Kluyveromyces lactis: one gene and its partner. The protein of the gene in region 2 interacts with the protein of the main gene of each other region in a biochemical or structural test. Links are inferred from orthologs where the notes say so. Each region holds a gene or a part of one and is shown on either strand. Other genes may lie near its edges. The genes, in order: SUP35 and PAB1.

Region 1 (4,187 bases), on a different chromosome or scaffold from region 2:
AAAAAACACAAATGTCCAAGAACTACACTCGAAGTATTATGAACCGGAAGATGATGGGTATATTTTTGTCAATAAATATTACGGTCGTGAGTTGACAGCTTCGAATGTAACGGACGCATTTGATTTGTACTTTGGCGATAATAATCTTTCACTCCAAAATCGTAATGATTTGATTCACATGTTTTCAAAAAGGCTTCAGCTTTTCTATAATACGCTATTGAATGAAGAGGTTCGCATGATATCAAGTAGCCTTCTATTCATATATGAATGCGATACTACTCGGTGGATCAACTTCTCTCAGGAACAAGAATTAATACCGTCCCATGTATCATATGATTCGGATGAGGAAGGGTCCATTAAAGATGGACAGTCAAAGGAGAGCATATCAGGAAAGACAGAATTGAGTCGCATGTCGATAATAGATTTTGCACATACCAAATTTACCCCAGGATTAGGAATAGATGACAATGTACTTGACGGGGTTGAAAGTCTTATAGACATTTTTGAAAGATTAAAAACTAAATATACAATCTAGACTAGACACCTAGTAAATATGCATTGTGATATGGATTCATAAAAACCGAGATCAATTTTCAAGGATTTTCACAATCTTACCGATAGCAATGGTGGTACCTTGATCTCTTAAAGTGAATCTACCCAATTGTGGGTAATCATCGTATGTTTCAACACATACCGGTTCATTAGTCTCGATAACGGCAATGATCTTCATACCCTTTTTAGCAAATGCTGGAGGCTTCTTTGATTTTCTGTTTGACCCCTTCTCAAGCTTGTGAAGCAATCTTGTGACGGTGACTTCTTCGATAGCTGTATGAATATGCATAACGCACGAGAAACCAGCAGACATGATCGATTTCAATTCGACAATAGCAATTTGAGCCACAAATCTCGTTACATTCTTAACTGGGTTTTTTGGAGAGGTTAGAACGAAACCAGCAGAAATTTCTTCTTCTTCGACACCTTTAATTCTTAATCTAACCTGCTCACCACAAACAGCCATGTCAACTTCGCTTTCAGTTTCGTTATAAATGGTCAGAATTTCAACAGAGGTCCTGTTAGGCATTAGTAAAGTTTGGTTACCCTTTCTAATGTGTCCAGATTCGATTTTACCTTCCACAACAGTACCCATGTCCTTCATCTTAGAAGCAATTGGAAGCATGAATGGAGCATTGATATGACGATCAGTAGTCTTCATATTGTCAAGATATTCTAATAAAGATGGACCAGTATACCATGGACAGTCCTTAGGATCGACACGTTCCTTCAAACCTGCACCTGTGTAACCAGACACTGGCATGAAAATGACGTCCTCCTTAACATTGTAACCCACAGCCTTCAAAAAGTTTGTCAAGTTACCAACACAGTGATCATATCTTTCCTTATCCCATCCCACAGTTGGATCATCCATCTTGTTGATAACTACAATCATTTTGTTGACACCTTGTGTCTTGGCTAATAAAGCGTGCTCACGAGTTTGACCACCCTTTTCGAAACCAGTTTCATATTCACCCTTTCTAGCAGAAATAACCAAAATACCAATATCGGCTTGAGATGCACCACCAATCATTTCAGAAACATACATTTTGTGACCGGGAGCATCCAAAATAGTGTAACGTCTCTTTTCAGTTTCAAAGTACGCTCTACCCACTTCAATGGTTTTACCGTCGTTTCTTTCTTCTTTGTTGGTATCCATCACCCATGATAAATACCAACCTTGTCTACCAGCCTCTTTAGCCTCTCTCTCATATTTCTCAACGGTTCTTTTATCCACAGAACCAGTCAGATATAACAAGTTACCACCCATTGTTGACTTACCAGCATCGACGTGACCCATGAAAATGATGGAAACATGATCCTTACCACCAAACATATCTTTAACGACTTCTTCGTCAACCTCATCTTCTTGTTCCTTGATTAGAGCATCCACGGAGTTCGCTCCTCCTGTAGATGTGTCTGCCTTAGCGCTGGTAGTCTTCTCTGAGGAAGTATCATCAGCAGATGGGGTATTCTCCTTAGTTTTTGGTTTTTCAGCCTCTGAGATTTTCAAATCATCAATTTTGGGCAATTCAGATTGTGCTTCTTCGTTGTCGTCGGTAGTTTTAGTTGCTTCCTTGGATTCATCAGTTTTCTCAGTTTTGGGTGCTACAGGTTTCTTGGCACCTACTAACTTAATACCAGAGCTAGAGGCCAACTTTAACTTAGGCTTTGGCTTGGCTGCATTAGTACTGCCTTGTTGGTTTTGGAAATCTTTCAAAGTCATACCCTGGGATGAAGACTGTGCTGGAGCAGCGTAACCGGTTGGCTGTTGTGCATTATATCCTTGAGCACCTTGATAACCCTGCTTATTATAGTTATTGTAACTGTTTTTATTATTATAATTTTTATTGTAGTTATTGTTGTGACCGCCTTGCTGAGCGTTGTAACCTTGTTGCTGAGCATTGTAGCCCTGGTAAGGTTGGTAGCCTTGAGCTTGTTGAGGGTTGTAGCCCTGGTAGGCTCCTTGAGGCTGCTGTCCATAAGCTTGATATGCTTGGTAGCCTTGAGGAGCACCTTGTTGGCCGTTGTAGCCTTGATAGCCCTGTTGGTTGTAGTACTGGTTGTACTGGCCATATTGGTTATACTGATTGTAACCTTGGCCTTGCCCTTGGTCTTGATTTTGTTGGTCTGACATGTCTACTAGTAGATGCTATAGACCGGTACCTTGTTCCAATTTAAGCTTGCAAATAGAGGGCAATTCGCTGATGGGAGGATCATGATGATCATCAGTAACGCTTTCTTACACTTTTCGATCTTCTCTATCAAGCTGTTTAAAATTTTTTGCAATTAGCGATGATGTAATTTTATACGACTGCATATATTCCTAAATAGACTAACACCATTGTAGCGCCCAATACGTAATATGGCATCAATAACCTGGTGCAACCGTTCCGTTCTTCCTCTATGTAACTGTATAAAATGAGGGTGCTGGTATTCGTGTAATATTAATATTATACATAAGCGATTACTAAACATGAGATCTTATTTTAATTCATAACAATTGTTCATATAAATGTTTGGCTGAACCAGTTTTCCAATGTGAAGCCAGGGATGATTTCATAAATTGCGAGGAGCAGTCTCAAACACAAGTTCTTCATCTGGTACATCTTCTATTATAATTCTTTTCTTTGGTTGTGGTTTATTAGCATCTTGTGGAATTTTTGGGACTTTGATTTGAAGCAATCCGTTAAAGTACGATGCTTTAATCTCTTCATCTTTAATTCTCGGTAAAACGGGGAACTTGACAGATCTTTCAAAATCACCGTATTTCAATTCTGAGATCTTCACGTACTTTTTATCAATCCCGATCTTGTTGTCGACAGCACCTTTGATCAGTAACTCGTGCGATGAAGGATGGAAATCAATTTTAAACTCCTTCGAGTTCGCACCAGGTAATGCCAATACAACAACGTACTGTTCGGGAGTATCATAAACGTTAACTTCTGGAGAAAATGGTAGATCAAGTCTCAATTCTGGGTTTGAAACTTGCAAAGGTGCAGGAACCGGAGATCTGAAACCGCTGGGCTCGTAAGCTAGTTTATCCTTTTGGTTTACGTCCTTTTCGCTGTCAACGGAGGAAGTAGTCTTATTCAACTTTTGTTGTTCCTCATTATTGTGCATGTTATAATCTTCGTTGTACTCGTCAGAAGCGTCTTCTCCTTGCTCTGCTGTTTCCTCGTCTATTTGCTGATCATTACGTTCTTTTTCTTCCTCGGAATATTGATTTGCAAGAGCTTCTTCGGCTGCCGCAAGAGCAGCGGCTTGCTCCTGTTCATCGTTTTCTTGTTCATCATCAGTTGCTTGTCTCTGACTTTCTTCATCAGCATCCCCTCTGAAAATGTCGGAATTACCACCGGCCAAAGCACTCAAAAGAGCCCCAACTACATCATCACCAGATGTTGGTCCAACAGCCCTTCTAGAAGCTGTTGTTGGAGCACCGGTCCTGCGAACAGTACGGTGTGGATGGTAATGCGTGGGTCTTCTCTGAGGTTGAGCATCTTCATTTGTGTAATAAACTGGCTGGTAGTAGGATGCGTTTGGAACTGAATAGTAATAGCTGCCAGGAACGTAGCCCTGTCTTCTAGCGGCAAAAGGGTCGTATCTGTCATACCCTTGATTAGCAGCTCTTCTTT
Region 2 (4,090 bases):
GAAGAAAGCTCCCGGTGCTGTGCATCTCGGTAGAAGAGTCGATTACTTATTCACTGTCCTAAGAGACGAAGCTAAGGGTCCCCAAACTGATCCATCTCACCCTGCCGGCTCTTCGTCAACCGGAACCACGACGCCTCAGCAAAACAAACGTAAACCAAAGAAGTCTGCTACTACTGCTGGGAACAGCAATGGGAACGAAAATGCCCATACCGCTGGTACCCCAAGTGACGGCAATAGTGTTAACTTAACCGGCAAGGACTCTACACCAGACAATAGCTCCGAAACAAAGCGTGGCAAGGCCCATCACCATCAACAACCATCATCAAGATCTGGTACGCCTGTCGTCGGATCGAAAAAACAGCAGAGGAAAGGTAAAGACATACCGTTGGCACCAAAAGCCGATATCCGTCTTCCTGACAAAGAATACGACAGTATGGACGAAGAAGAGTGTAAGAAAACGATGACAAACGTCCGTAGCTCACTCAAACGTCTAAGATCTGGAGGAGACGGTCTTGAACGTAAGCAATGGGCTAACCTATTGAAGAAGGAATTGAAACGTGTTGGTGACTACATCGAATCGCACAAGAAGGACTCGTCTAAGACCTCTCCAGAAAAATATAAAAGACATTTATGGTCTTTCACTGCATATTACTGGCCAAGAGATGTCCCATCTTCCAAACTCCTGGCGATGTACGACAAAATCAAAGCCTCTGAACATTAATTAGTCAAATGTAACAAAACATAGAGATATATACGCCTATCAATTTACGAAAAAAAAAAAGATATCTAATCAACAACATATTGCTATTAGTTATTATTACCTTCATAAATGACATGAGGCACAAGGGCGCACCAGAAACAGCCGGCTGCTAGTAAAATACCTGGTTTGTTGTGGTGATGCCTCAGATCATTTCGCACGTACCTACCTTTCCTTTTGTGGAAAAGCTTTAAACTCTTTTTCAACTCTTTAAATTTTTCAATGAAAATTTTCACTTTTTGGCTAACTCATCACAACAATTAAGGACTGTTCTCACAGAGATGGATGAATTATATAACGATTTTAAATAAGTTCTTGTGATGTTGTTTCATTTATTTAATTTGTTATAAGTTTTTAGTTATCTTGGTTAGTTTATACTGTTTCGTTTGTTACTTATTTGTATTACCTTTCTGGTTCAGTTATTGTAACATTTTATTTTGTGCAATTTGTTTGTTTAAAAAGACCACGGTCAAAGTCAGCAAACTCTCTAAAGGTATCATCTGTATCCTGTATTTTAATTGTTTTTGGTAAAAGAAAAGAATAAGCGTGGTTTATATCTTTTTAATATTAGTCAAAACATTCCAGTTAGAAGTCTTTTTGAATTCAAGTTAACTAAGGGTTTTTCATTTCCATCCATCGTTAAATCAAAACTTAATAGTTTCATCAAAGGTTCGCAACTGTGTGGGTATTAAACAAAACAATACACTAAAATACACATTAAAAAACCATAAAAAAACATATATTTTAAAAACACATTACAAAACCAACCAACCGCCATCTTTTTCGGTTAAATTTATCTCATCTCATCTCATCTCATAATGTCTGATATTACTGAAAAAACTGCTGAGCAATTGGAAAACTTGCAGATCAACGATGATCAGCAACCAGCTCAATCTGCCAGTGCTCCATCCACTTCTGCTTCTGAAAGCGAAGCTTCTTCTGTTTCTAAGGTTGAAAACAACAACGCTTCATTGTACGTTGGTGAATTGGATCCAAACATTACTGAAGCATTGTTGTACGATGTGTTTTCACCATTGGGTCCAATTTCCTCGATCCGTGTTTGTCGTGATGCCGTCACCAAGGCTTCGTTAGGTTACGCTTACGTTAACTATACTGATTACGAAGCTGGTAAGAAAGCTATTCAAGAATTGAACTATGCTGAAATCAACGGTAGACCATGTAGAATTATGTGGTCCGAACGTGACCCAGCTATCAGAAAGAAGGGTTCTGGTAACATTTTCATCAAGAACTTGCACCCAGCCATTGACAACAAGGCTTTGCATGAAACTTTCTCCACTTTCGGTGAAGTCTTGTCTTGTAAAGTTGCTTTAGATGAGAATGGAAACTCTAGAGGCTTCGGTTTCGTTCATTTCAAGGAAGAATCCGATGCTAAGGATGCTATTGAAGCCGTCAACGGTATGTTGATGAACGGTTTGGAAGTTTACGTTGCCATGCACGTTCCAAAGAAGGACCGTATCTCCAAGTTGGAAGAAGCCAAGGCTAACTTCACCAACATTTACGTCAAGAACATTGACGTTGAAACCACTGACGAAGAGTTCGAACAGTTGTTCTCCCAATACGGTGAAATTGTCTCTGCTGCTTTGGAAAAGGATGCTGAGGGTAAGCCAAAGGGTTTCGGTTTCGTTAACTTTGTTGACCACAACGCCGCTGCCAAGGCCGTTGAAGAGTTGAACGGTAAGGAATTCAAGTCTCAAGCTTTGTACGTTGGCAGAGCTCAAAAGAAGTACGAACGTGCTGAAGAATTGAAGAAACAATACGAACAATACCGTTTGGAAAAATTGGCTAAGTTCCAAGGTGTTAACTTGTTCATCAAGAACTTGGACGATTCCATCGATGACGAAAAATTGAAGGAAGAATTCGCCCCATACGGTACCATCACCTCTGCTAGAGTCATGAGAGACCAAGAGGGTAACTCTAAGGGTTTCGGTTTCGTTTGTTTCTCTTCTCCAGAAGAAGCTACCAAGGCTATGACCGAAAAGAACCAACAAATTGTTGCCGGTAAGCCATTGTACGTTGCCATTGCTCAAAGAAAGGATGTCAGAAGATCCCAATTGGCTCAACAAATTCAAGCCAGAAACCAAATCAGATTCCAACAACAGCAACAACAACAAGCTGCTGCCGCTGCTGCTGGTATGCCAGGCCAATACATGCCACAAATGTTCTATGGTGTTATGGCCCCAAGAGGTTTCCCAGGTCCAAACCCAGGTATGAACGGCCCAATGGGTGCCGGTATTCCAAAGAACGGTATGGTCCCACCACCACAACAATTTGCTGGTAGACCAAACGGTCCAATGTACCAAGGTATGCCACCTCAAAACCAATTCCCAAGACACCAACAACAACACTACATCCAACAACAAAAGCAAAGACAAGCCTTGGGTGAACAATTGTACAAGAAGGTCAGTGCCAAGATTGACGACGAAAACGCCGCTGGTAAGATCACCGGTATGATCTTGGATCTACCACCACAGCAAGTCATCCAATTGTTGGACAACGACGAACAATTTGAACAGCAATTCCAAGAAGCCTTAGCTGCTTACGAAAACTTCAAGAAGGAACAAGAAGCTCAAGCTTAAACTTGATTTTTTGACCTTGATCTTCATCTTGTCCTTTCTATATCTTTCCCCCGAAGAAAAAGAAAAATTAAAAAAAAAAACGAACAGCTAACTATATGAATAGTCTCAGCTTCACGCATTGGAACTGGGTGGTGCTAATTAGCTTACGCATTGTTATAGACCTAAACTAGTCGAAATAAACTACTTTCTGCCACTCTTCTTTTTCTCTCGCTTTTTTTTTTTTTGTTCATCACAGGCTTTCCATTGTTGCCAAAAATGTTGTGCTTTTAATCTTTACCAATAAAAAAAATTACCACGCTCCACATATACCATATTACCACAATCCATCACATCACTCTACCCTTTCTCCATACCGCTAATTCAATCCGGAGGTATGCCCCATTTTTCTCTTCAAATTTTTTCTTACTGATTTTTTCTATCTAACTATTATTGTTACTCTACCCGTTTTATATAATACTAAAGCTCTAATGGGAGGACATTAGTAGTCTTTTTAATGAAGAGGTTTTTCGCATTTTCAAAAGGTTTTTTTATCAGTCTTTATATACCTTTCTCTGACAGTCATCAACATGGACGGTATACTGTCCTGTGATGATGATGATGATGATGATGAAGTATCACGTGACTTCGCATTGTCTTTTTCGATATCGAATAGTTTCATATTAAAGGTCTTGAAGGCATTTAAGGCACTAAAAGCTTTAACCCTTTTTAAAATCAGGATCTATTCCTGATTTTCTAC

Evidence for each region.
Region 1: the proteins of PAB1 (region 2) and SUP35 form a complex in vitro, tested with the Saccharomyces cerevisiae proteins (3 studies listed by BioGRID). The link is inferred for Kluyveromyces lactis from reciprocal best matches to the Saccharomyces cerevisiae genes PAB1 and SUP35.

What each region holds. Positions count from the first base shown.
Region 1 is NC_006040.1:1,486,369-1,490,555, forward strand, and holds SUP35 (translation termination factor GTPase eRF3), read right to left. Parts: upstream 2,690-4,187; coding exon 587-2,689; downstream 1-586. Other genes in the region: ARG82 (inositol polyphosphate multikinase), read left to right, coding at 1-535; heat shock protein HSP42, read right to left, coding at 3,112-4,187. UniProt on the Saccharomyces cerevisiae protein: GTPase component of the eRF1-eRF3-GTP ternary complex, a ternary complex that mediates translation termination in response to the termination codons UAA, UAG and UGA.
Region 2 is NC_006039.1:1,551,747-1,555,836, forward strand, and holds PAB1 (polyadenylate-binding protein), read left to right. Parts: upstream 1-1,575; coding exon 1,576-3,354; downstream 3,355-4,090. Other genes in the region: chromatin-remodeling ATPase CHD1, read left to right, coding at 1-721. UniProt on the Saccharomyces cerevisiae protein: Binds the poly(A) tail of mRNA. Appears to be an important mediator of the multiple roles of the poly(A) tail in mRNA biogenesis, stability and translation.